Linked DNA regions of Kluyveromyces lactis. The protein of the gene in region 1 purifies or fractionates together with the protein of each later gene. This does not show direct contact. Links are inferred from orthologs where the notes say so. Each region holds a gene or a part of one and is shown in the gene's direction. Other genes may lie near its edges. The genes, in order: RCF2, RIP1 and COX13.

What was found.
Region 2: the proteins of RCF2 (region 1) and RIP1 purify together in Saccharomyces cerevisiae (affinity purification with western blotting; 5 studies listed by BioGRID, with this or other methods). This does not show direct contact. The link is inferred for Kluyveromyces lactis from reciprocal best matches to the Saccharomyces cerevisiae genes RCF2 and RIP1.
Region 3: the proteins of RCF2 (region 1) and COX13 purify together in Saccharomyces cerevisiae (affinity purification with mass spectrometry; 3 studies listed by BioGRID, with this or other methods). This does not show direct contact. The link is inferred for Kluyveromyces lactis from reciprocal best matches to the Saccharomyces cerevisiae genes RCF2 and COX13.

Annotation. Positions count from the first base shown.
Region 1 is NC_006042.1:573,911-576,452, reverse strand, and holds RCF2 (Rcf2p), read left to right. Parts: upstream 1-1,366; coding exon 1,367-2,032; downstream 2,033-2,542. UniProt on the Saccharomyces cerevisiae protein: Assembly factor that plays a role in the assembly of the respiratory chain supercomplexes (SCs) composed of ubiquinol-cytochrome c oxidoreductase (cytochrome b-c1 complex, complex III, CIII) and cytochrome c oxidase (complex IV, CIV).
Region 2 is NC_006041.1:2,012,770-2,015,316, forward strand, and holds RIP1 (ubiquinol--cytochrome-c reductase catalytic subunit RIP1), read left to right. Parts: upstream 1-1,402; coding exon 1,403-2,044; downstream 2,045-2,547. Other genes in the region: putative E3 ubiquitin-protein ligase HUL4, read left to right, coding at 1-651. UniProt on the Saccharomyces cerevisiae protein: Component of the ubiquinol-cytochrome c oxidoreductase, a multisubunit transmembrane complex that is part of the mitochondrial electron transport chain which drives oxidative phosphorylation.
Region 3 is NC_006042.1:844,118-846,498, reverse strand, and holds COX13 (cytochrome c oxidase subunit VIa), read left to right. Parts: upstream 1-1,414; coding exon 1,415-1,798; downstream 1,799-2,381. Other genes in the region: IME4 (mRNA (N6-adenosine)-methyltransferase), read left to right, coding at 1-328. UniProt on the Saccharomyces cerevisiae protein: Component of the cytochrome c oxidase, the last enzyme in the mitochondrial electron transport chain which drives oxidative phosphorylation.

The DNA of each region.
Region 1 (2,542 bases):
TAAGTGTTCACATTATTATTTTGTGTCGCGCGTCAGATAATATCCGAAGAGTCGAAGAGTCGAACAAAACGATCCATGAAAAAAATAAAAAAAAATGACGTATCAGTGTTCGCTTATTAACTAGTTGAAAAAAATCTTCAATAGTCTAATATGCGTTCATTTTACAAGTATTTCAGTAGAGACTCAAGCTAGTATACATATCGGTTACGTCAAAACAGAGTGATGTACAAAACTCTGCTGGCCATATTCAAAGCAAAGGCTTTCCACATATTAAGCTCTTTTTCTTAAGAGTAGAAACCTGAAAAATAGTATTTCGGCGATTTCTCAAAATGGTAATCACTCTCCCTTGTATTAAAAGGTCAGGCTAATGAACGCAACACTGCACTAATTGCAATGGATATTATCCGAACGATCCGATGCCTTAGGTCCAAAACTGAAGCTTTTCGAAGATCCTGTAACTCTATTGGATGAATCTGGTAGGTTCCAGCTGTTAGGGTTAGTCGATGCATATTCTCTGCTCTTCCTTTTTTTTTAAACATGTGTGACTGACCAATCATATCACAGGAAACTTTGTGTCAAGGAAATGTGGAGCCACAACCGTGGCAAATTCCGACCGGCTTCTTCTCAGGTAACAACTACTAAAACCACTATCTCCGTATGCACGCGCAAATCCTTCTGAGTAGGACAGTTCGTTCGGCTGGTCCCACTTAGGTATTAGCTTCGCTAAAGTATGGATTGATTTTGAACATCAGTGTAATGAACATAGTCACTTTCTAATTGACGGAGTTATTTTCAGACAAAAACTTGTCTGACCTTTGGAAGAAATTTCAATCGAATGGTTCATTGATACGTTGATAGCAATGAACAGGTTACGCTGAGCCTGTTCATGGGCTGGCAACAAGAACGAGAGATATAGGGTTTGGCTAACTGCCAAAATTACGTAACATCAGTAGCAGTGCCTCATGGACAATCATAAATCCTAAATCGTATACGATATTGCAGGAAAAAGAAATAAAGGAACAAAGAATATTTATCATACGGGAAGGAAAAAAGTAAAAAAGTAAAATCGAACCAAAATTAAAGTATAATTGGAACAAAGGCAGGGAGGGAATTTAAAAGTATCGTATATAAGGAAGAGCATTCTCTCGGTTTATTCGTTTACAGAATCATTTCAAATTATATATATATATATCGTTTGACAGTTAAAATTTGTTAATGCTTATCCTCTTGGCTAAAATAAATATCGGGATATATTAGGATTTTGTTCCAGTATTAATTCGATATTTATCACCTTATTTAAACTAAGGGAATCAAAAGTTAGCTTAAGAGATAAGTAACTGAAAGACGAAAAAACCAGCACAGCAAGATGAAGATTTTAACAAGAGAAGAAATTGATGCTCATCGTCACTACACCCTGATGGGTGGTGTTAAAGGTGCAGCTGCAGGTCTGTTAATTTCTGCAGCTATGTTCAGGTTTTTACCCCATCGTTATCCTAAATTCAATCCAAAGGCTATGACATGGTCTGTCAAGACTGCTTTATTCATCACGCCTCCAACTCTTTTGGCTTCTATTGTCGCTGAAGAATCTTCTAACAGTTTTGATAAGAAAATGTATGGTGACTCTTCGTCCAGTGATATTCTTGCTGAACATAACAGATGGAAGAACCTGCCTATGAGCGAAAAATTGGTCGAAGGTTTGTCCAACAATAAGTACAAGATCATTGTTGGTGCATGGGCTGCTTCCTTGTATGGATCCTGGAAATTGGTTGATAGGGACTTATACATGACCAAAGCCCAAAAGGCTGTGCAGGCAAGAATGTATGCTCAAGGTATAACTGTGATTTTGTTACTAGCCTCAATTGGTTTATCTATGTACGAGGAAAAGCTACATCCAGATCAAAAGAAGGAGGCTAGAGACCGTCGTTGGCAAGCGGCTTTGGAGCATGCTGAGAAGGAAGAAGAGATGGCTGCAACCGCTGGTTACAGAAGTAACGAAGACAGAGTTAAGGCCAAGATTTTTAAATATGATTGAATTTTTGAAGAATTCAATCTAGCTGAGGTGAAATACGATATTGCCTTCACACTACAAGGCGTACAATTCTATTTTCACCCTCATCACATCCTTCTTGTGAATAATTTTGACCCATATACTATTAACTGTTTTTTTTTTACAGCACTGCCTTGTACGAAATGAAATGAAGCAGATCTAACGTACCAAATCTACCTTTCATGGTGAGTTATTTTGTCTCACATTATTCTATGTCATGACAAGTTAATAAAAGAAGATCTATTTTTTATCATTGATTATTGTAACAGTTTCATTGCATCGTGGCGCAACCATCCACGAGATCAAAAATGCGGGCGTGCTGCCTTACCTGTTATGGTTGTTTTTTAATGTCAGCTTATTTCAATTTTTTTTCAATAGAGACGGCTGGTACGGCTTTCATAACATTATACCACTACTTTTTTGAACCAATCAAGAACCTTCATAAATTATCAAAAATGCGGACCAAAATTGCTTGTAATCTTTTCATTTCTAATA
Region 2 (2,547 bases), on another chromosome or scaffold:
ATGTTGAGTTATTCGGAACTAGATTTTAGTGATATATTTGGATTGTCGTTTGAGACCACGTATTACGATGTAGCCAGTGGTATCAACGTCACGAAACCGTTATGTGACGGAGGAGAATCAATCCCAGTAACCTCGGAGAATAAGACAGAGTTTGTTGAAAGGTGGGTAAATTTTTATATGAATGAGGGGGTCTCATCGAGTTTTAGTGCATTCCAATCCGGGTTTACAAGAGTCATCGGGGATGGTTTGGCTTTCCCGATGTTCAAAAGTTGTGAAGTAGAAAGGCTCATCTGTGGCAGCATAGAACAAGACATGGATTTCGAACAACTTCGCGCTGTGACGAAATACCAAGGCGGATTCCATAACCAAACCCCGGTAGTGGAATGGCTATGGGAAATACTACCACAATTATCCCATGAACAGCAACGTCAATTTCTCCATTTCGTGACTGGGAGTGACAGAGTTCCAGTGACGGGACTTGCGACGCTTCCGTTCAAGGTAACCCGCACAACGTCCGGATCACATGATCAGTTGCCCACTGCCCATACCTGTTTCAACGAACTCTGCTTGTACGAATATGAGTCACGTGATACTCTTCTTCTGCGATTGGTGACTGCCCTCGAAATGTATGAGGGTTATGGGTTTAAATAATGTCAGCAACAAACATACATTAATATAATCACTACAAACGAACCAATCATATCGTGAACCAGGCTTTACAGAAAAACCTGCTTCCCTTGAATAACCAGAAAACACAAGGAAATGGACACTTACAGCTACTATGTGAAAGCCGTTAAATGCGAAGCGTTTTACTGACACTAGGCCCAAAGGCCCTAGTGTCAGTTATCATTTCCACCAAGAAAATCTTCCTATACTTGACCATTTACGCAAATAAAATTGTATACTTGTAAATTGGAAAATAATAACCACACCAGGAAGTTCTGCCTCGTCCCAGCTCATTTACACTGTCCATTCCTGTCTGGTCGAATTATATCTTGTTTAATCCTTTAGCGCTTCTTACTATTGGCTTTTTTCCCAATCTGAAATTTTTCTTTGTTTTTTTTTTTTTTGCTTCCTTCCGCACTTATTAAGCTGCAATGGCTTCTGTTTAATATGGATAGAGATAATTTGATAATTTCTCTGAATAAAATAAAATAGAAAAAGATTTAGTACAATCATTTTATTATTACTTTCAGTTCCAACAACATTTTTGCATTGATATATATATTTTATAATCTGGCTTGGTGATTCATATCTGTGTATATATTTATTGATACTCCGAGAGTGCTTTGCTGTTGTGATTAAAGTCGATATCATAGAAACGATTTCTCCGAAATAAGAACGGGAAATTAGTACGAATAATACACTCTAGCGATATATCCATAACTAACTAATATCAAAAATGTTGGGTTTAAGAAACGGTTTGAAGACTGGTTTGAAGTCTGTTGCTCCAGCCAGATTAATTTCTACTTCTGCAGTTGCTGCCAAGTCTACTTACAGAACTCCAGATTTCGGAGACTATATCAAGGAGAATAACGATGCTGACAAAGGTCGTTCTTATGCTTACTTTATGGTTGGTTCTTTAGGTTTGTTGTCCTCTGCCGGTGCCAAATCCACCGTTGAAACTTTCATCGCTTCTATGTCTGCATCTGCAGATGTTTTGGCTATGGCTAAGGTCGAAGTCAACTTGGCTGCTATTCCAGAAGGTAAAAATGTCGTTGTGAAATGGCAAGGTAAGCCAGTTTTCATCAGACACAGAACCGACCATGAGATTCAAGAAGCTAACAGTGTTGATATGTCAGCTTTGAAGGATCCTCAAACTGATTCTGACAGAGTTCAAAAGCCAGAATGGTTAGTCATGTTGGGTATCTGTACTCATTTGGGTTGTGTTCCTATCGGTGAATCTGGTGATTTCGGTGGTTGGTTCTGTCCATGTCACGGTTCCCATTACGATATCTCCGGTAGAATCAGAAAGGGTCCAGCTCCATTGAACTTGGAAATCCCTCAATATGAATTCGATGGTGAAAACTTGATTGTCGGTTAAGCGCAGAAGGAAAGCTAAAAAAAGATTATATTATGTTGATAAATTGTTGAAATAGGCTACCTTTTTTTGCTATTTCTCAAATTTAACTCTCTTCCTTTTTCTCTTTCTCTTTGTCCTTCTCACTCCAGCTTTCACTAATAAAATTCTTTATTCCCATGTTGATGTCTCCTACTCCCCCCATGTATTTTCCAAGTAGGATTCACAACCAAGGTCAATATCTTTTATGCTAAAGTTTGTCATATTGGAATCGTGTAAGCTCGTTTTTTCACGTTCCATCATCACTACCCGATTTATTATTATTTATTCATACAAACATTTTTGAAACCACAACTACCCGTGCCCCCATAGCTCAAGCAAACTAAAAGGATAGCAAGCATGAAATGCTTTTGAAGCATTGTTCAATTGTATGTCATCACTTTTCCTTTTAACTGCACTGAGAAACAATCGCATTAATACCTGAATGACCACATCAGGCTACTACCGTGATTGAAACCCTTTTATTA
Region 3 (2,381 bases), about 270 kb from region 1:
AACTGGCCATTGGTTGAACCACAGTAAAGAGCATTTACTCGTCGGGGTCAAAGGCAATCCGGAATGGCTAAACAGAAAAATAGACATTGACTTGATCATTAGCGCAACTAGAGAAACCAGTAGAAAGCCGGACGAATTGTATGGAATCATTGAAAGACTTGTCGGTACACATGCCCGTAAACTTGAAATTTTCGGTAGGGACCATAACATCCGTCCTGGATGGTTCACGATAGGAAATCAAGTGACAGGCTCATCTATCCATGAAGTGGATGTGAAAAGGAAATACGAAAGATTCATGGAAAAATCAAAGAATTCAAAGACAAACTAAAGATGTAATACTCTCTTTACTTCAAATGTCCTAGCTTTTATTTGTCGATACACAGTATCCATTAGGAGTCTGTATGTGTTCCTTCTTACTTTTCTTCTTTTTTTTAATTTATGTCATACGCCCTTGTAATTACAAACGTTACATTACCCACAAGTTCGTGCTACACTTAAGCAGCAATAGGCAATCTTTTGATTTCCATAACCATGGCTGATCCTACGGGCGTTCTATTAGCCAACGCGCTTGTTTTTTGAATTCAATGCAACAAGCTCTCAGCTTAATCTAGCATTCTATATATTAGGAACGGTGTTTCTGTCCACTACACCAACCCCAGCCGGCAAGTCCCTGCAGCAGCTACTAGAATGACATGCGATGGCTCAGGTTTGCTAAAAACCCAAAATCAATTACCGCCAGGCCGTGAAACAAATATTGTTACCCGGACTTGAATTCCTGAACGTCAATATTACACTGTTTGTCAATATGTATAAAGAGATGCAACAGAAACAGAAAATAAAGTAGGAAGTACTTCTGAATCTGTTGCCAGTGTGAACGGTATCGTATGAGCTACTTGTGGGTTTGTAGTCCCGGCGAGACAGCAACACCATTTAAACAAGGAATAGGAACCTTTTATGCTCAGTGTCCATTACCAGAACTTAAGTCTCTCGTGACCAGCAACCAATCATTTTCATACCGTGTAATGTGATACCGAAATTACAACATCGAAAAAGCATGATCTTTGTCTAGTTTCTCCGTCGTGCCATTTTTGGTTTTTTATATGGAGTGGGATATGGAAATATCGCGAGAGAGATTGTGTTGATGCTAGAAAATTTTGGAGGTAGGAAAAAAAAAATTGTTTAATAGTTAGGAAAGTTCAAGTTATTAAAGCTACTCTTTCCATAATAGAAAAGGTTTTATTGGTAAGTCAAAGTACTTTTTTAAAAGAGATTTTTGTGATTAGTTTTCTTACTGTTTACAATTCATTTTACATTCATTTCGAGTTTGATATCTATTTAACGTCAACTGTGTTTGGTGAATTAATTCCATAAGGATATTCTGTTTCGAAAAGCCAGACCCTAGATATAATCAAAAATGTTCAAACAAGCCATTAGAAGAGCTTCTACTCTACCAAAGTATGCTTTGGAACCAGCTTTCGGTAAGCCAGATTTGGCTGCTGCCCAAGCTTACAAGGACTACATGAAGCACAGTACTGAGCACGCTAAGCAAACCTCTAACTTGTGGGTTAAGATCTCCATATTTGTTGCTGCTCCAGCTATTGCTCTGACCGCTGTCAACACCTACTTCGTTGAAGCTGAACACGCTGAGCACCGTGAACATTTGAAGCACGTTCCAGATGAAGAATGGCCAAGAGACTACGAATTCCAAAACTTAAGACAAAAGCCTTTCTTCTGGGGTGACGGTGACAAGACTTTGTTCTGGAACCCAGTCATTAACAGACACGTCTCTCACGATTAAACACAGTTCGATAAATGATCTCAACTTGTTGGGCTTTGGCCATTCATAATGAAATATCAAGATAGCCCCTGCCTGTGGGTTTTTTTATCTTTTAAAACACCTTTTATCAAATATCCTCAAATTATCTTCAAAAGAATTCAAACATCCGTTTAATCTGGCATTATACTTCAAAATACAACAAACATATGGATAAACTTTATAGTGGAGTTTCCACCATACAAATAATTATTATTTAACTCAAGAAGAATAAACACACTTTTTATCTTTATTGTAAATTCAGTCCTAGAAAAATAGAATAAAACACGTCACACTGTGTCAATGATCATAAGTAGATATAAGTTTCTTCATTATCAATATCTATTGTACTGAATCTGTGACAAGCAGTACATCAACTTCGATATGCTCAGCGTTATGGCAAACGTCTTTAGTAACTCAATACTTACTTTTTTTTCACGAATGATGAATACAAACTGACTTTACGTTCCAAAAACTTTAACTTTACATTGTTCCCCATTGTTAACCGAACAAAAAATAAGGGGAAAACGAAAAGTGATACGCTGGTACAGCGTATATACAACATATA